4 linked regions of the Schizosaccharomyces pombe genome follow. The protein of the gene in region 1 binds, or shares a complex with, the protein of each later gene. Each region holds a gene or a part of one and is shown in the gene's direction. Other genes may lie near its edges.

Evidence for each region.
Region 2: epl1 (region 1) and vid21 share a complex: the UniProt entries of both Schizosaccharomyces pombe proteins name them as parts of the nuA4 histone acetyltransferase complex.
Region 3: epl1 (region 1) and eaf7 share a complex: the UniProt entries of both Schizosaccharomyces pombe proteins name them as parts of the nuA4 histone acetyltransferase complex.
Region 4: epl1 (region 1) and alp5 share a complex: the UniProt entries of both Schizosaccharomyces pombe proteins name them as parts of the nuA4 histone acetyltransferase complex.

The regions. Positions count from the first base shown.
Region 1 is NC_003421.2:2,187,571-2,192,776, reverse strand, and holds epl1 (NuA4 histone acetyltransferase core complex-Piccolo HAT module linker protein Epl1), read left to right. Parts: upstream 1-1,901; 5' UTR 1,902-2,047; coding exon 2,048-2,215; exon of another isoform or gene 2,216-2,422; intron 2,423-2,736; coding exon 2,737-4,242; 3' UTR 4,243-4,694; downstream 4,695-5,206. Other genes in the region: cnb1 (calcineurin regulatory subunit B), read right to left, coding at 1-29, 92-328, 522-573. UniProt on the Schizosaccharomyces pombe protein: Component of the NuA4 histone acetyltransferase complex which is involved in transcriptional activation of selected genes principally by acetylation of nucleosomal histone H4 and H2A. The NuA4 complex is also involved in DNA repair.
Region 2 is NC_003421.2:978,962-985,424, forward strand, and holds vid21 (NuA4 histone acetyltransferase complex scaffold subunit Vid21/Eaf1), read left to right. Parts: upstream 1-2,009; 5' UTR 2,010-2,158; coding exon 2,159-2,167; intron 2,168-2,184; exon of another isoform or gene 2,185-2,249; coding exon 2,250-2,530; exon of another isoform or gene 2,531-2,587; coding exon 2,588-5,282; 3' UTR 5,283-5,504; coding exon of another isoform or gene 5,505-5,679; 3' UTR 5,680-5,749; downstream 5,750-6,463. Other genes in the region: yapsin Yps1, read right to left, coding at 1-1,217; sws2 (mitochondrial 37S ribosomal protein uS13m), read right to left, coding at 5,505-5,679, 5,750-6,030. UniProt on the Schizosaccharomyces pombe protein: Component of the NuA4 histone acetyltransferase complex which is involved in transcriptional activation of selected genes principally by acetylation of nucleosomal histone H4 and H2A. The NuA4 complex is also involved in DNA repair.
Region 3 is NC_003423.3:4,259,301-4,263,383, reverse strand, and holds eaf7 (NuA4 histone acetyltransferase complex subunit Eaf7), read left to right. Parts: upstream 1-1,922; 5' UTR 1,923-2,064; coding exon 2,065-2,221; exon of another isoform or gene 2,222-2,311; coding exon 2,312-2,445; exon of another isoform or gene 2,446-2,507; coding exon 2,508-3,035; 3' UTR 3,036-3,572; downstream 3,573-4,083. Other genes in the region: RNA-binding protein Cip1, read left to right, coding at 1-911. UniProt on the Schizosaccharomyces pombe protein: Component of the NuA4 histone acetyltransferase complex which is involved in transcriptional activation of selected genes principally by acetylation of nucleosomal histone H4 and H2A. The NuA4 complex is also involved in DNA repair.
Region 4 is NC_003423.3:2,010,957-2,015,505, forward strand, and holds alp5 (Ino80, NuA4 and Swr1 complex actin-like protein Arp4), read left to right. Parts: upstream 1-2,042; 5' UTR 2,043-2,105; coding exon 2,106-3,407; 3' UTR 3,408-4,049; downstream 4,050-4,549. Other genes in the region: DNA-directed RNA polymerase I complex subunit Rpa2, read left to right, coding at 1-687; GINS complex subunit Psf1, read left to right, coding at 4,544-4,549. UniProt on the Schizosaccharomyces pombe protein: Chromatin interaction component of the NuA4 histone acetyltransferase complex which is involved in transcriptional activation of selected genes principally by acetylation of nucleosomal histone H4 and H2A. The NuA4 complex is also involved in DNA repair.

The DNA.
Region 1 (5,206 bases):
ACGGTCAATATCATAAATCTTGAAGGCAACTAGATAAAACAATAATGTTAGAACATAATTTGCAAAGGAACGACAAGTTGATTGAGCTTACACTTCAGCTTTTCCTCTTTATTGCCATGCACTGAAAATACAGAAAGGCTATTAATAAATTCTTGAAAGTCCACATCTCCTCCACCGTCTTCGTCTACAACTGAAAACAGTCTGGAAGCAAGTGGGTTAGAAGCTACACTGGGAATCGACAAAAATTCGTTTCGGTCAATAGAGCCAGATTGGTTAGCATCTATTTTAATAAAACGCTTGCGAATTCTTTCTATCTCCTCATTGGAAACTAGATACAATGAACGTTAGCCGAGTCGCTTTGAGGTGCTAATACTTTTGCATTGTGCATGTGAAACCGGCAACTTTGATGAATTGGCTATAATCTTAAAAAGAAATAGACGACAAGAGATGTAAGTATTCTAACATGAAAAAATATAATGATAAGAACACTTTTGGCCACACGTACTAAGCATCAAACTTACAGGATGAATTTGAGATCAAGTCCTCAAAGATTTGCGACTGCGACTGACCCATGAGAGGGAAACACAATAATATGAAATGAGTAAGGTTCAATTAACAAACCAAGAATATAACGGTCAGCTACCTTTCAAAGAAAATTCCTTATATCGGTGGTGGTAGTTTGAGTCAAAATCCTTCTGAATGTAAGGGTCGAATGTCACTTGGCACACTTTGTCTTCCACCAATCTCAAAGATAATCGTGGAATCCGTAAATTTCAAAAAATGACTTGAAAACATGTTGGGTTGTGCAAAAAAATAGCTATGAAAATTATCTGTAAGCTTGTAATTGAAAATTCAACTGCAATGGCAGCTTTTCATTTTTAGAAAGGATGCATCAAACGAAAATCCGGCTTAAAAACGACAAAGAATTGAGGTTTAGAGCAATTCATAATTGCTTTGGAGATGGCTGTTTCTGCATCTTGGATTTTTAAAGGCGAGGTTTTGTAATTTTTCAAAACTAAATACCTTTAACCTTTATTCTTTCTGATGACCAAATTTTTTTTAAACTGCTTTAGCAGTTTTATGCTGATTAAGCTTTACCATATGAGCTTAAGATTATGAAGGAAGCAAAATCTGAGAATGAGCAATTTTTCGACATGTTTGGTAAGTATTTGAAAGGACTTTCGAATATTTGAAAGATTGCAATTCATGTTTTTAAATCAAATTTTAATCTTCCTGAAAAGGGCTTGGTTTCTGGAAAAAGCAAATGTGGAACGTTGAAAATGTTTGTCTACAACTTGCTTCGTTTTGAAAAAGACATTCATTTTTCTCACCCTATACTATGCGCAGTTGGCATAGATAATTGATGAGATACGGAAAACATCTTCGTTAGTGGAAAAAAATGTAGAATTTATTCCGCTGTTTACTTCTATGTTCCACCTGGCTCTGCTGCGAACAGTTTATTATTCTAACAGAAATGCCTATTCATGGTCTATAACACGCATTGAAAGTAAAAATCAAGTGCTTTTTTCTGCTACTAGAGACTACGAATACTAGCAGATCATGACTTTTCTTTTGAATTAGTAATGCTTTTTTTCTATTGAGTATTGACGAGGGTTTTCCGACGTCAATAAGATGAACTATGATAGAACTTGATTCCTTATAATTCACTATGGAGTTTTATGGACTTCACTTCAACTGATGGTTGACAATTTCCTCTTTTGTTTCTCCTGCCATCGGTTTCTTCCATTGTTTACACCTGGAATCTCCAGTAAATATCGCTACAATACGTTGTATATTAACGGTACGAGCGTATTAGAAAATTATTTTTGGTTACGTTGCTCCTCGGTAAATTATCGCAGTGAAGAGGTTTATGAAAAATTTCATTCGGTTTGTTAACCCCTAGTGGTTTGACACACCAACGACGACGGCCGTCAACTACGCCAGGATTTAGCGCCTGTTTCTACAAGATTTTGAGTGAGACGAGTATCTTATAATTTTACGGTTGGATAGATTTAAGTGATTGGAGTCCAACGATACCAATATTATCATGAGTTCCGTCTCCAAAAATGCTAGGGCATATCGTCAACGGAAGGTCGGTATTAAAACCGTTATGCCGATTTATTTCGAACGTGATATACCTGACTTTGATGAAGAAGCTTCACTTCAGCGGACAGTTCCCTTGGTGGAATCTGGTGTTGAAAAAGAAGAGGAAGAGGTAAGTGCGAACCCGAGAATGTGAAAGATAATGAAAAGTACGAAAAACCTTGGCTTCTTGATGGATTTCGTTGACAAAAATAAACACTCTTTTTAAAGGTGCTTAATCACCGTTTTACAATGTATACGAAGGGTTATGCGGAAAATTATGATTTGAGCGGAGTTGCATCGAATTTCTGAATTTTTTAAACTTGCTAGTTTGTTTGTGTTAAAGTTACTCTTGTAAAGATTAGTAAACTGAGAATTAAAAGTTACTTGAAAAATATTGATGCTCCTTCTTTCACGAATTTTGAGGTTTTTTTTTTTTTTTCAACGGATTCATTGAACCTTTTTAGTTTTTATTCTAAATTTGATTTTACTGAGAAAAGATTGCTACTTCATTATTGTGGCTAATGAATGTTTTGGGTTATGTTTCTAGCAATGCTTATTTATTTGATTATTTATTGTTTTTGGAATACAGCTGTCCTTTTTCTTATCGCTTTTCATTCATCTTCGATTACTTAGATTTCTAACAATTTATAGGAAAAACATTTGCAACAAGTCATCAATGAAGCCCATGAGGCCATTGTGCGTGGATCTGAAAAAAAGCTTATTATCCCTACACGGGAGGCTAAAAATATAGGTATAATTGACAAATATTACAAAAAGAATTTCATTCTTCCTAAGACATTAATTCGGTTTTCTCTCACTGTGGAAGAATGTACAAACCCAGAATATTGCATGGATGAACATGATACGGAATATTTTCTGAAGTTGAAACAGGCTCAACCTTCTCTTTCCAAATTTTCTGAATTAGATTTTGAAATTGTCATGCAGACGTTTGAAGAGGAAATTAATCAAAATCAGCCTTTTTTGAGCATGGATACCTCTCAAATATTGCCTTTGTCTGAGCTCATCACCTCCTTCGAGTTAAAAGATGTACTGTACTTGAAACCACTAGCTAGTCAAGTATACCCTTATTGGCGTGAGCGTCGTATCAGTAAGGGTGGTCTTCCAATTATGGCTAAAGCACAAGTTGGCGATGATAAGGATGATGATGATCCATATGTTTGTTTTCGTCGTCGTGAAATTCGACAGGCTCGCAAAACTCGTCGGTCGGACGCTCAGTCTTATGATCGCTTACGGAGGTTACGACAAAGCATGGAGACAAGTCTTCAGTTACTGGAACAAGTGTACAAACGTGAGCAAAAGAAGCTGCAAGCGCTTGAAGACGACTATGCTATTTTCCAGAAGCGCTGTCTTGTCAAAAAGCTTAAACGTACTCTAAATATAAAAGACAGTGATGAACTTTTAATCAATCCTAAACGACGTCCTATTGAGGTAAAGCCCGCCGCCCCTGTACCTACTCCAGCTCCACCTGTAAAAACTTCTCCTCACCCTGCTTCCTATCGCCCACAACCTACGCGAAATGTCGAAGTTCGACCGTTATTAATGCTTGATGATGTTCAATCAGCCCAAATTACACAATTTCAGATTCGTCTTCAGCAACGTCTTACCAAGAAGGAACAGCTCGATCGTAATTGGGTTGACCTTTTGGAGACGCCTAGTACCGTTATTCATACTAATTATCCCGATTCGTTTTACCGAAACATTATTCCATATTATTCAGGAAAAGAAACGAAACAATCCCATAATCAACTGAGTATTCCTTCCTCAACCCCTTCGACTCCATTATCTGATAATGGACCCACCTACTCTACACCTCACTCTTCCCTATCTAATTTTAATACGTGCGATTCACTTTCATTCTCTTCAAATAACTCTTTATACGGCTATAGCACTTTATTACATCCCAGAAATCCCATCTGCGTTCGACAACGAATAGGACGTGGAGGGCGTTTGATGTTGGATCGCACTCGTGCATTGCCAGTACATCGGTTGAGTAAACCAAAATCTCGTGTTGAAGATCGATGGCTTTTTGACATTCCCTTTGATGCCGATGACACAATTATACTCGATGATGAATCTGATGCTTCTATAATGTTTCGAGCTAGCTTGCTAAACGATGATATGGGTACTCAGTCATAAAACGCTTTTTATCTATGGTATTTATAATATTTCCATTACTAAAGATTTCGATCAAATTTTATTTTAACTATTTCTCCTCGACTAGCTTATTTAAGATTTTGATTGATTTCTTGAAGGGATTTGGGGTATAATCTATTTTTCTCTTTAGAAAAATAGTGTTTATTCATTTTTATGATTTTTGTTTGTCCAAATAAAAAATTTAATAGGGGGAATTGACTTGAAAGCATAGTCAGCTTTTTTTTTGGCTCACAAGATTTGATTTTGCTTCTACAGTCCAACCCTGGTTTTATGCATGCATAGATTCTTTATCGTCGCTAATTTATTTGATACTGTACTAGTTGAATCGGTGAATTGTTACAAAATTTTTGGTGATCCCGCTTTTTTAGACTTGCATGTGGTTAATGACTTTTTTAATGACATTCAATTCATTGTTCAGCTTTTTTAATTTAGCATATAATAAATATACGATGTACGAAGTTTATGTCTTAACGACTTATCGAATTCGTATTCAAATTGAATACATTTTTAGCTTTTTAAGTAGTTTTGGAAAAATTTCAGACTAAGTCATTGCGTTGGGTTGTTGATTATATATTTATTGGTTTCTTTCCTTTTTGTTCTATAACCATTTACTTTAGTTCTCTGAGCTTATTTTTTAGAAAATCATCCACTAACTATATGTCTCTCTCATTGCTACAAGATACAATAGCAAATATGAAGAAGAGTCATATCGAATTTATAATGCTCACTCTTAGTTTCCATAGTATGTGTTAATAAGGCGTACTTCTAGCAATTATGATTGCAGTAGGAGATTTAGAAATTATCGACTTAATTGAATATCAATAACCTTTATCTTTTTATTGTTGTTACTTTCAATTATAAAAAACTTGAAACAACTTTTTTAACTGAACTGACAAATTTTAGGTTCATCATAACGACTTTGGGGATTCAATTAAAGTCATTAAGT
Region 2 (6,463 bases), 1.2 Mb from region 1:
ATCATTTTTTGACTTTGATGATAAAATGTGTAGGCGTTTCGAAAAAATAACAAACCTAATACAATCTCACTATCCGTCGAAGGTCGAATACCTAAAAGACATATGTTTGAAACTTGCCCAATCACTAGCAACGATATCGGTACCTTGATAGTTGAATTACATCCAAATTGAAATATCAGAGCGGCTTCCAAATCAATTTCATCACAGTTTAATGCGAAATAGCCTTCGGATAAGTAGGCACCAGCATTATCCATCACACTGTAAGCCAATTCGGCAGGCAAATAAATATAAGTTTCACGAGTTTGAAAGTATGCATCAGTGATGATAGAATAATTAGAAAAGAACGTAGAGTTTAAGAACTGCACAGAGTAAATGGAAACGGCGTAATGCGTAAGCTTAGTCTGCTTCAAAGCGACAAACTGTCCCTGGTACTTTGACGTATCCACGGCTCCCAAAAGTAAACTTCCATTACCCTGATTATCCAGATACATACTAAAAGCAGGGTATGCCAATATATCCTCTTTAACTAGTTGTTCCAAAAAGGTTGGTGGTGAAAAACTTGAAATGGAATCCGAATAATCTATTGAATTAATTTCGGTACTGGCAGCTAAACCTAGCACGCCTTTGTACGGCAGCATTGAACTGGGAACATACTCCTTTAATGTGATGCCGAATTGGAAGTCCGGTAAAGCTTGATAATGACTGTAAGAAAGGGAGTCCTGAACATTAATTCCAGCAACTGTAATGTTATCGTCATAGCGGATAAAAAAAGTGCTTGGACTCGTAACAAAATGGAAGCTAGAAGATGCATTCCCAAAATAACAAGAATCACTTTCTTTTTTACAAAGAAAGTATCGCAGTTCATCCGTACTCCACTGAGTACCACTATTCACTATGCCAAGATACGCTGGATTAAACGCCATTACATTGTAGTAAGTCAACCATGTGTACGGCATGTCCAAATCTATAGCTACAGTGTACGAAATACTCGGACGACCGATCGAAAGGGTAGTAGTGTAGTAAGTGTAACTCTGCAAATCTAAAGGAAATGAAGTGATACCAGATGGAGAATAAGTATAGTCACGCTTCTCTAATTGATTTTCCTGGTTGGGAAAAGTTTTCGCAACGAAGTCCAAAGCTAAAACACCATTTCCCGTATATTGTAACGAAGAGACAAGTTTAATGAAGGAGAAAAATATTAAAATCCAAATCCTCATAATCCTTAAATAATTAGAAGAAAATATAGATGCAAGAATGTTTACATAGAGGTAAATTAAAATGACCAAGGTGATTATCAGATAAAAAGAGAAATAAAGAATAAGAATAAAGTAATATGAGAAGAAGAAATAAGAATATGCAAAACGGAACTAAAACAAAAATGCAAAGTAGAATAAAGAGCAGGTGCCGAGTTCTTTTGATGAAAGAATGTTTTAACGAAAGCAACGATGAATTGTTATTATCCCTTGTTATGTTGGGAGCAACAATTTGGCAATCTTGCTTTATAAAGAAAAGAAAATCCACAACAGAAAGTGGAAATAATCCTCAAGGGATGAGCAATAGATGCATGTAAAAACCAAATGCAACGCAAAAATCTAGAAAAACTTGATCATAAATAAGAGTCTTTCACAATTCCTAGCACGTCGTAAAATAATAAATACAAATTGAAAATAAGGGAGAAATAGATCACTTAACGATAGTTTTTTTAGAATGATATGATAGTAGGTTTGGCATGTAGCTCAACTGAATGTATTTTTGAATAATTTAAGTTGAAAGGGAAACGTTTTTAAAGCTTTGAAATATGCCGATAACCTTTATGGTAACGTCTCAACTTTTAAATAGAACAAGCGATTTCTCCGAGCAACAAAAAGACGAAAATAAAAGACAGTCTTATTGCTGTACTTGTAGTTCAAAACTGTGTCCTAGTAGAGTGCTATTTCCTTGTTTTTCTACTTCACCTAATATGGTGGTTGATTGCGGGCTCAAATCCCTTGGGGGGCCTCAACACCATCAGACTAACTTCGTTCACATTAGGTCTGAAAGTATACAGGATCCTTGAGTTCTTTATATCATCATACAATAAATATAAAAGCAAAACTGTGTCTTTTCTAGAATACGATTTGTATGCTTTTTCCAGCGTAATTCCGCTTAAATTGGGATTATGAAACAGGTACGTTTTTACGAGTCTTACGGGCCTTAAAGTGATAATTTTATTGTACTTCGATAACTAATTAATATTTTTAATTAAAAAGAAGGAGACCAAAACCAGTCAAATTGCTTTAGTCGATGGTGAAAAATTATCGATAACAGATTCTTTTGCCTCCCTTTTTACTCTAGACGAAGAAGAAGAAAACGACTCTGTAGACAATGAAGAGATTAAGTTAACAAAAGAGAAACATGAAAAGTTACTTCTTTTATTTTGGTTGCATTGCAAGTTTCCTAATGGATTAGAATGGCTTCATTCATCAAGTGATCTTTTACCAGAGCAAGTTTCTGAGTGGTTTAACTTTTATCAAAAGTATCGTTTTAAAAGGTATGTCTCATTGAGTAACTTTTTGTATTTTCCTCAAATGTACAACTAACATGCAAGGGGGCGAAATTTTAATCTTTCAGCTAGAGAATCTGTAACTCCTATCGTTGAAGAACCGATAGTTCCCGAAGAACCCGATAATTTGGAAGGAGTTTCAGAGGAGACACCTTTAAAAGAAACTTCCCTAGAACTTAGCGAGGAGGAAATTATAACGTCAAAATCTCCCATACCTTCACCTGAAACTATACATAAAAATATTGACGTAGAAGAGAAAGAAACTATTGAACCAACAACACCCGTAAAAGAAGTGGAAACCACTGCTCATGCTGAAGAGGAAAAAGGCCCTTTGACGCCAGATAGCGAGTATGCTGCTCGACAGCTTACCGAAGAACTTGCAAACAAATCCTCTCAAGAAGAAGGAGTCGATAAGCAATTAAGAGTGGTTGAAGCTACCGAAAAGGAACATGAGGAAGATGGGAATGAAGAAAATGTGACCGTTACCAAACCGGTAGAGGTTGCGACTGATCAAGTTGAGTCTAAAGAAGTGAAAAAGAAAGAGGTATCAGAGACAACGGAACCTACGGCTCCCCCTGTCACTGTTGCAGAAGTTTTGGAAATTGAAGATAAAGTCCCAAAGGTTGATGAAGTTGAAGAAGTTCATTCTCCTGAAGCCAAGGTCACTGAAAATGATGTTGAGAATGTACAATCAGGTATTGATATTGAAAAAACTATACAATTATTAAATAATCAAGAGATTCCTTCGGAACAACAAATCATTTCCGTTGACAAGGCCACTGAATCTCCTGTTCAGGAAGTAGCGGTTGATGTCAACGAGAAGCCAGTAGATGAAATTGTTGAGCCTAGTAAATTACAAATGGAAAATAAGTTACCATCGGAAAAATCCCCTACAATTGACAGAACTGGGGTTGAAGCTCCGCTTTTTGAACTTTCTGTATCTATGCCACTAACTTTAATTCCTCCTTCAAAATTTTCTGAACCGGTGAAACCAGAGCTTTCCTCAGAAGCATGGCTGCTTCGAACAGAAATGTCGCCTTTACATTTAAGGTTGAAAAATGCACATAAATATGTTCTATCAGATAACTGGTCTCATGCGTATCGCGAGGAAATTGTACGACAATCACTACATCATTTAACGGTTGCAAAAGAAAAAGGTATTTGGTCCTTTAGACAGCCCAAAAGACAAAACGAGATGCCACGATTGAAAACTCATCGGGATTATGTTTTGGATGAGATGCAATGGATGTCAATTGATTTTTCTCAAGAGCGTAAATGGAAAATTATATTGGCTCATAGAATGGCGAATTGGGTAATGGATTACCATCAAGCTAGTGATAAATGTACTGTTTGTACTCCGGCTTCGTTGTCAAAGAATAAGAAGCCGTACATGCAAGAGAATGAACATCAGAAAGACTCTCACGAGGAAACGTTTAATGAACAAATAGTGAGCCATTTTAATCTAAATGATAATAATAACAACAAAGTGCTCTCTATTCCCAGGGATTCTTTACAGTTTTATAATGCTGTTTTTTCGGATGATATATTTGTGACAACAAACTCCGAACAAATTCAGAACTGCGTTTTAAACGTTCCTATGTACGGTCCTCCTACTGAAAACAATGAATATTGTGAAGAAATATCTGAAAAGTACCCGATCACTCCTGTGTCACGTTTTGCATATGCCAAAACAAAGCTTAAATCCACCTGTGCAAAGGCTTCTAGGAAACGTTTGTTCAACCAATTGGAATTATCACCACCTGAGTCGTTTATGGAAAAGAAGGCGAGAAGCGATGAGAACCAGCTAGATGGAAATAAAATTAAGGATGATAATCAGAAGCTATCCTCAGTAGGAACCTTTAGTGTGCGGCCTCCGTATCCGCCTTCTAGTAAAGATATTCGTCCAGAAGCCCCTTGGTTGCCCGAAGAAGATGAACTCCTTTTATTACTCTTGCGACGATATTCCTTTAATTGGGAATTTGTTGCCAGTAGGTTAACACCACCAGGTTTGTACATACCGCTTGCCGAGAAGCGGACTGCGTGGGATTGTTTTGAAAGATGGATTCAAGTGGATCCCAGAGCCGCCAATGTCCAATTGACTGGCTCCCATGCAAGACTCGCTCAGCAGAAATTAGATGAATCCTTAAGACATTCGGATAAAGTTAGCCAACATCTATCCTTACGGGATGAAGGAACACCTAACCATTTGATTAAACATAATTCTTACTTCTTATTGCCAACTGTATCAAGACATTACCGACCCATTACTATATTTGAAGCTATACGAAAGATCCTTAAAAAGAGAGAGTTTGCTAAAAAACCCACTATGACCAAGAGAGCGATTGCACCATCTGCAGCTTCAACTGAAAAATTGCCGCCGGTTCCTTCCCCTCTCGAACTTTCTCGTTTGAAATCTGAGCGTGAGGCACAAATACAGCAAATACAGGCTCAGAGAAACTTTGCACAATTGCAATCACAAAACAGGGCTCTACGGCCGCAAAACGCCGCTGTTGCTGCTGGTGCACAACAACACAACCAGCAACTAGCAGCCTTTCAAGCTGTAGCTGCTTCACAAAATAGTAGTAACAATTCATCAGCGGGTGTCTCGCCTATAGCTGGTAGAATGGTCCCCAGGCTTCAGCCATACGCTGTTTCCAGTTCTTTAAAACTAACACCTGAACAAATTCATCAGTTGCAGCAAAGGAAGCAAACTGTACCTACTACTGAAAGGACACAGTAAGTATCGCCTCAATGCAATTTTTCGATTTATTGTATTTTTTTTGAGTGCTGTTGTATATTAGAAGGAAATTACGAGGCGAGAGCTTTTTCTCTCACACAATAAAAATAGAATACGTTTTCATTTTCGTATCCCGGTTGTTGGTTTTTTAACAGAATCAAGCAAATCGAGGTAATACGAAGTGTACATGATAAGTGAAGTTTGATTTCATAAACGTTATTTTAGCTAATGAATATGTTTTAATTTTTGAAAGACAGACACCATTCTCGGTAGACAAAAACTCCATGTGATGGGCCTTGTAGAAGCGGGCGACAGTGTCATATAACCTCGTCGTGGGACTTTGTTTAGCTTCTTAGCAGTCTTTGCATTCGTCCGAGTGTTCTGTCCATTAACGGGTAACCTGAAATATTCATTAGTTAAGTTGAAAAAGTTGTCGAAGACAGCTACGTTCACAAATGATCTTTTCATACCCGTTTACATGTCTCATTCCCCGATAGCATCGGATATTCACCAATCTTGAGATATCAGCATTCCGTTGACGCCGTAAGTCACCTTCAATAGTCATTCCTGATAGCAGTTGCGACAACGTTGTCAATTGAACATTTGTCAGCTCTCGAACCCTTAACGTATTGTGAAATGATAATTTTGCGCATATTTCTTCAGCCTTGGCATGTCCAATTCCATAAAAAGAAAGTAGAGCAAACCGCACAGGTTTATCGTCGTTTACAGCCACTCCAAGTATGTATACCATGATGCAAAATCTCAGATATCAACAGATGAGACAGAAACCAGCTCAATAATGAAGTGGACAATTTGGTTTTGTAATTCAGTTCTCTATCAGTAATCAGAGAGCTTAAAACCGTTCTGAATATAAGTATTAGGCTTTCTTGTAAAAGAGTGGAGTGGTGGTGTTTAGATATAATACACAGTTGGATCTCTCATATTTTTAGAAAACTAGTTAGATTGTACAGACTCCGGGCCTAGTAATAAAAGACAATTTGAGTAATCATTAAAGAGCTACTATCTAAGGTGTAATTTGATGTTTAAGAAGACCATAAATAGGGCAAGGTAAGACGAAGAAAAACAAATAAAGAAGAGATATCGTCAAAGGCCTTCCTTTTCTGTTCAAATTTTAAAATTTATGAACTCAAATGATCCCTTCGTTCAATGGTCTCAGTTTAAAA
Region 3 (4,083 bases), on another chromosome or scaffold:
CTAATTCAACACCGGTTGAACCCGGTGAAGATACCATTCCAACGGCTATTGTTGTGAAAAATATTCCTTTCTCGTTGGAGAAAGATACATTGTTGGATCATTTTAAGCAACTAGGTATTCCCAGACCTTATGCCTTTAATTATCACTATGACAATGGAATATTTCGAGGATTGGCTTTTGCTAATTTTTATCGTCCTGAAGAGGCTCAAGTTGTTGTGCAAACGCTTAATGGCTATGAAATTAATGGCAGACGTCTTCGTGTTGAATGGAAACGCCAATTACCAGCTGCAGAACGCGAGAAGGTGGAAAAAGCAAAGAAACGTCAAGCTGAAGAAAGACGTCGTAAACAGCAGTACAAGATGTTTGAAGTTAGCTTTACTGATCAAGGCTTAAATTTGAATGACACTGGTACCCTTGAAACTTATAGTAGACTTCTATTGTTTGCTCATCAATGCATTCCTTCTCGTGAAATAACATTTGAAACCACTTCTAAGGACGGAAACCTTCTAAATGCCATTAGAATCTTTTGCCTGTACTTTGATCTCGATTACTATGCTCGCCCGAATGGAGAGGTGTTAAAATTAGTAGTTACTCATCCGAATAAAAAGAATACGAGCGTAAGTCAGTCGCAACCTGCATCTCCAAATTTAAGATTTAATATGCCGGCACCGTTAGCTACTCGATTTTTGCAAGAGCATTCATTGAATGGTACTAAGAGTGCCCCTATAACCCCACCTCCCAGTTTCGCAGTACCATTGACAAACCAACTTCGTTCGATTGACGACAAAATTTATGGAAATGAATCACCGCTTCAAAAGGCTTCTACTTTGAGTTCACCTTTCAATTCAAAAAATGATAATGATGCTTCTACCTCCGCTTCCAAGCAGAGTTTTGGTGTCTCCCACTTTTAGAGTCTATGCAATTATAAAGAAACTGTTTATGTACCTTTTAAGATATGATTTTTGTTTACGCCAACTATAGATGCATTTACTATACGCTATTTGTTTTGACTAAATTTTGCTCTTTATCCCTTTATCACTTACTTCTGATGAATCTAAACTCTATGGGCTTCATTTTGTTGATTTTTTGTTTTCCCTTTCACATAGTTGGTTATCCAGCAAATAATCCTTTTAAATACTTAGAAGCTTATATTTTATCGTTTTGAATTCCCACGACACATTTGGACGACTCGACTTAACAGCAATCAATGATGGATATATGTTGGGTGAGGCATAATGTTTTATGACGATAATCAACGGATGAGCGATGCTCCTATTTTTTTACAAATTATAACGATTTTTCTTGTATAAGAAATTTATGCCCTACCGTATAATATACACATACTTTACATGATTAAATTTAACCTTGGACAAATACATTAGTCTGATATTACAAAATTGAACTTTTATTTTTGTAAATTTAATCATCTTCTTTATGTGGATGTGAATGTTCCTAGCTTAGTATTACCGTACTATGGATATAGAAATAAACCTACGATTTAAAGTCTATTTTCTACCAAGCTTGTAGGGCTTTAAATGAGCTACTTTAAAATTACCTAAAATATCGTTAAATTTTCCTATATAATGCGAATTGATTTATATGTAAAAAAGAAAAAGAAATTGCAAGCATGGTGGACTTTTAGTTCCATTGTTAGTAAGTTGTAATTAAAGGAAGTTACAAAGGATTCACTAAAATAAGAATACTTTATGGGTTATCGCAGCCTTACTCAATTACTGCACTTGAATGTCTATTGAATTTAAGAATGAAGAAAGGATAACACAAAGATGCACGATTCTTTTTGGATGAACTTTTATTTTTTGTTAAGGTTATGAAAAAAGATGAAATACACTTGACCTTGTAATTACTGCAGCTAGAAAAAGAAAATATTATAAAAACCAGTTTCATGAGTTATGGCTGGAAGTACCGCACAACACCATAAATATTGATAATCTGCTATATTGCCGATAATATAAAGTTAAATTAGTAGAAAAAGTAAACTAAGAAACAGAAATTTTCTTATTTTACCCATATAAACCTATGTATTAGAGGATAGCAATTGTATTTATGAGTTCGAGGGGAACAAGATCATCAACTGCTGCCGAGCAGAAAAGGCAGGAGGATGTAAATAAAGAATCAAATATGAATGATTCTGTTACTGAATGGTCTGTTTTAGAGGAAACCTTACTGTTAAAAGCTATTTGTCGTGGATTGCGCCCTGTAGGTAAGTGTTCGAAAGGTTAATTGCTCGGTCTCTTATTTTAAAAGCTGCATGTTATCAAATTATTGCATTCATTCACTAATTAAAAAATAGGAATAGAAAAAAATTTTTATATGATAGGGATTTTACGAGAAATTCGTGATGGCTGCAAAAGATCAACAATTAAGGCTCAGGACGTTTGGAATAAATTAGGAACACTTTATAATTTGAAAGAGTTTGAAGAATTGGTATGTCAAAAAGCCTTTTAATTTTTTGTTTTCAAGTATTTGTTGACAGTTTTTTAAATTAGGAAGCTCCAGGAAATGAAGAAGTTAAGGCGAAAGAAAAACGAATAAAGTCGCCAGATGTTAAAGATTTTAAATTACCAAAAGATATTCTTAAAGTAAAAGAAAAATCCGAGAAACCATTGGAAACATCTCAAAAAGTGGAGATTGAAACGGTAGAAACTAAACCCGGTGAACCCGAAGTTAAGCAGGAGACGAATTTACAGAAAGAGAAGAAGGAAAGTAAAGTCAAGCTTGAATCTAAAGAAGAGAAAATTTCTCGGAATTTACGATCCTCTTCTAGAAGTATTTCTCCTGTTACTGAACAGCCGCAAAGTCCAAAGATTCAGCCTGTTATTCCCGAAAAAAAAGAAAAGTCTGAAAAGAAAGAGAGTTCCATGACTTTGCGAAAAAGATCCGTCTCGCCATCTTCTCAAAATACAGCCCGTTCTCCAAAGCGTATGGCTACTGAGCCCATAGAGCCTGCTTCTTCACCGGCAGCTTCAAACCAAGCTATTCGCCGTAGCTCTCGAAGCCGGAGGCCTCCGACCTAGCTCTTGTTAACAGAAAAACCTAGGATGGGAAAGACTGATTATTTGTACATATCATTTATGCTTGGTCTACTCTAATGAACGGTTATTTATATATGAGACCAAAATTAATTATCACAAGGGATTTATAAAAAGTGAAAAATAAAAAGAATTATGATTTTACTACAACTAATATTTTGTATGTCAAGGAGATTTGTTTTAGCAGAATTATAGGTTTAATGGGATCGACGGCATGTCCAAAACTAATTTGCTTTTGCAGTTTTACTCCTTTTTGATGCTCGATTCACGTAATGGGAAAAGACGAACGGCTTTGTTACAAACAAATTTACTCTGATTTACCGCTACGATTTTTGAATCCCGTCACTTCTTTACTGTTCGTTACGATGTTTTATGTAGCTATATATACTGTTTGATAGCTTGACTTGCTAAAAAAAATCTTCTAACTGTGAGTTTTCAATTTTAATTCGATAGGTCCATATGTTAATGTCGATTTGGTTGGAAATATGTTTTAAAGTATGTTTAACACGCATAGACAGAGAGATTCCAATAGGTAGTATACATATTACTTTCAAATTGATGAGCAAATTGTTTTCAAAACCTTACACAGGTAACGATTTGATCAATGAATTTTTCAATTCCGGTGAAACGGACTTGAGTATTCACATGAGTTAATGTATTATTTATCGGCACATCAGACCATTGCCTAGCAGAGTCTGCCGAATTTAACAACTTTTAAAACACAATAGATCTATAAGTACAGCTCTCTAATAGCAAAGCAAAACTGAGCAACCCGTCATTGCGAAACCTTTAAAAGACATCAAAAATACACAAACGCGCTTGCATTCAGGTACATAAACATGCAGCGGGATCTACTTCATAGAGTTTCGTAGATTCCCTTACTTGAAAGGTTAATATCGTACATAATTTTCATACTGTGAGGCAAAAATCTCATTAATATTTAGTATTCAACAACATAAAAACAATTTTAGCAATTAAACTTGAAACCGTTTAATAAACAATGGAAGTACACTAACAAAGATAATCCTAGTGT
Region 4 (4,549 bases), on another chromosome or scaffold:
ATGTTTATTGAAAGTTTAGCTGGTAAAGCTGGCGCCTGCCATGGCTTGGCTCAAGACAGCACACCCTTTATCTATTCTGAGCAGCAAACTGCTGCTGACTACTTTGGCGAACAATTGGTTAAGGCTGGTTACAACTATCATGGAAACGAGCCTATGTATAGTGGTATCACAGGACAGGAGATGAAGGCTGATATTTATATTGGAGTTGTCTACTATCAACGTCTTCGCCATATGGTTAGTGATAAATTTCAAGTACGTACAACCGGACCCATTCATAATCTTACTCGTCAACCCGTCAAAGGTCGCAAACGTGCTGGTGGTATTCGTTTCGGTGAAATGGAACGTGATGCTGTTATCGGTCATGGCACATCGTTCTTGATGCAGGATCGTTTAATGAATTGTTCTGATTATGCCCAGAGCTGGGTTTGTCGAGATTGTGGGTCTATTATTTCTATCATGTCTACAATTTCGATGAATGGCGTAGGAAGTGCCTCAGAAGTCAGGTGCAGAAGCTGTGCCAAACCCGCTTTGGGATTGGAAGATACCAGTGACATTTGGCAGGATGGTAGCGGAAAGAAATTTGTCGGCGGCACAAATACTACGTTGATCGCATTACCCAGTGTTTTCAATTACTTGACGGCGGAACTTACTGCTATGAATATTAAAATGATGCTTGAAGTTAAATAGATTAAAGTGTTGAAAAGAGTATTGAAATTAATATATTCGCTTTCAACTTCTTTAAAAAAAATTTTTTTAAAAGGACTGACAAAATGCCATGGGTGATGTGTGTATTTTCAGTTCCATTTGATTCTGTTTTCTTTCGCAACAGGTTTCTGATTTTTGCTTCGGATTACGTTTTGCATATAAAATTACTTATTGTTTTGGGGGAAGAGTTAATAAAAAAACTTATATAGAAAACTATAAAGGTAGGTCTAGGTGGACTAATAATAAATTGATTGATTTTTATCTTTTTGATTAAGAAGCGGCTAAGACATAATTGACAAGAAAAAGTTTATTATTAGATGTCTTTTTGCTTTAAATTGTATTATATATTGGTTAATAGATACTTGATACCAAAGAGTGATCGAATGTTCAAAGAAGCAGATTAATCAGAGGTTGAGATCTGATGCAAATTCGTGAGCACACATTCGTATGGAGAAAAGAGAATTGATATCTTATAATTTTAAGAACAGCTCAACTACAGAAAATCTATGCACTCAATTATAAAAAATACCTATTCGCATGGTTCACATTTAAGAGCAGCATAATGACGAATTACAGAAACCCACGCTAAATTGTATTTTGTGCTTCATTATACTATATTAGATAACCGATATTTAGTATAGTGTGTAAGCTACGCAGTTTGGTATCTGATTTAAGGATACGTAGAACTGCGGTGAGTTTTCCTTGTGATCTATTATATTACAATACACAGGTTGTATGAGTAGCAACTGAGTATAGGTATTGTATTAACTGGGTTATAATGTTACCTATCACTAATATAGCTCATAACTGAACTGAGGAACGAGGTTCGGCTGTAACGCTATTTCGGCAACCGATATTAATAGACTTCATATAACAATAAATATACATTGTTAGTTAACATACTGCATACCGCTATATTGTAAGTCGTAAGAGAAACTCACCGTAATTCTATGTATCGTTAAATATATACCAAACTGCGTAGCTGACTATAGCAAAAAACTCAAAAAATCACTAAATGAATTTGTTTATTAGGAGCATAATAATTATCTTTTCAACTATTGTGGATTTCTTGTACAATTGTTTTTTTTTGTGCTATGAGCCCAATCTTTCATATGAATGCTTATTTTTGAAAACCTAGTTTACTTGACGCGTCTATTAAAAGCTTGAAAATTAGCGACATTCTCGTTGCATGAATGCTTAAAGAATGCACACTTTTCTAAATGAAAGTCTTATTTTTAATTAATTAAACCAACTAAATAAAATAGGAAAGAGTGATGGGTATTTTTAAGAAAAGCCGTTGGCGACCTATTTCATGATCTCAACGATGCGTCTTGTCCAAGTGCCAACGACAACTTTTGCCTGAGAATCTTATCACGTAGACAAACTGTACTGCTGGTAAGATGACTAGCGCATTTTATGGCGGAGATGAAGTTTCAGCTATTGTAATTGATCCTGGAAGCAAATGGACTCGAATAGGTTTTTCTGGAGAAGATATTCCCAAATGCGTACTCCCTAGCTACTGTGGAGAGTTCAGTGATGGCAGACGGTTGTTCGGTGAGGAATACATATATAAATCAAACCCTGGAATGGAAATAAAAAATGCAATTCGTAATGGTTGGGTTGAAAATTGGGATGTTACTGTAGATCTCTGGCGTTATGGATTAGAGCAGCAGTTGAAGACTAATCCTTTAGAGCATCCAATCTTGATTACGGAACCATTTGATAATCCCCCAGAAAATCGAGTGAAAACACTAGAAACGATGTTTGAATCTTTGCGTTGTCCTGCAACATACCTCGCCAAGCAGGAGACGTGTGCGGCGTTTGCAAGCGGGAAAGGTACTGCTTGTTTAGTAGACATTGGTGCGGAGCGTAGCTCGGTGTCTGCTATATATGATGGTTTTGTGCTTCAAAAAGGCTATCAGGTTCAACATTTTTCTGGGAATGCAATTAACGATATTTTGGCGCAAACTCTCAGGGATAAGAATTTCGAAGTGATGCCTAAGTACTTAGTGAAAAGCAAAAATCCAGTGGAGATAGGGCAGCCAGCTAATTGTGAGTTACGTCCTCGTGATACTACAGATTCTTATCATCAATTTCAGGTCCAGCGAGTCTACGATGAATGGAAAGAAGAATGTGCTCTCATTTCCGATGTTCCATTTTCATCTGAAACCACGATTGCTGAATCAGAGTTCGAATTTCCAGACGGTTCCCGTATGATGTTTGGCGCGGAACGCTATCAAATTCCTGAACATTTGTTTGTGCCAGGAAGTGATGAAGAAATGAACGAGGAACCTTCGAAGCCAATAGAACAAACCGAAAATAATGAGGTATCACAACAAGATTCTTCGGTTACCAACACTTCTTCTCGCATTTTGGGGATACCTCAGTTGTTCCAGAACTGTATTTCGGAATGCGATGTTGATATCCGTGCTTCTTTGCTCAACAATGTTATTGTTTGTGGAGGCACTAGTTTGATGCAAGGATTCTCTCTTCGTCTGCAAAATGAACTTTCAAAATTATATCCTGGCAGCCGTCTTAAAATCCATGCTTCCGGTCATGTTGTTGAACGCAGTTATGCTTCATGGTTAGGTGGATCTATTTTAAGTAGTCTTGGAACGTTTCATCAATTATGGATATCACGTCAAGAATATGAAGAACATGGTTCTGATCGTTTGGCTTTAATCGAAAAACGATGTAAATAATACGTGTAATGATAATTACTAATCTCTAATGAACCTTTAATTAAAAGTCGTTGGATTTTAGGGAATTTTCCTTAAGTGGAAAAAAAGGGGAAACTTTCGTTTGAAATAAAAAATAATTGAGATATTATTACTTTACGTATGAGACTCTTTCCCTGTCCTTATACCTATCATTTGAAGAGAAAATATTGGATCATGTATTTTGCTATCATCAATAAGCATCAAAAGTTTTGTTTTTGTAACAGATTGTTACTCTGGACTGGTTCGTTGGCTCTTTGTGATATTCATGCTATTGAATTTGTGTAATCTTCCGCAGATTATACATAAAGCGGATTTTTTTGAGTACGGCCAATACATCGATTGGATTTTATGTTGTAAGCAGAAAAGAAAGTCTTACTGACAAAATCATTTTAAGCTACATTAAAGCTCAATTATTTGAAGCTAAATATGCCTTGCCATTTTTTGGATATGAGTGATAGGTTTTAAATTGTACCCCTTTAGATTCTAATTTCTCATCAATGTGATTGTTTTATTCCCTTAAAGCCCTGTCCGATGAAGCAAGCACATCGTACTGTGTTCTGAATATTACGTGAGAATTGTAATCATTGAATGATATCCTTTCTTTTATTTTGAAATGAAACTTTATCTGGTTTCTATAATTTTAGTAGCAATGATTTGTAAGTTGATAATTTGAAGCTTCGTTAAATCATCTCTTCATTCCATGTGTGACGATGTGAGGAACTCGGTTTAATGATACCTTTAGGGCTCATTCAATCCTTTGAATTAGTATACATTACTTTATGAAACTGAGGTAATCCAAGTAAGTATACGCTTCATTTTAAATCTGTGTGAATGTTTAAATAATAAATTCTTAAAAATTCGCATAGTAGGTTCAACTAATAATTTTGTTATAAAAGATCCATGTTTTATTTACAGTAAAATTTCTACTAAGGAATGCATCATTATGGTCTTATGAAAGACATGTCATTTTCCAACGACTTGTCATCCACAACCATTCAATATAGCTTTAAACAACTATCGAGTGTCGTTGTTAATTATACTAATCCGTTTCTTTTAAACTAAACATAATTAGGAAAATCTGTTTAAGCATATCGTGATAGTTAGTGCTTCTAATCACTATGGAG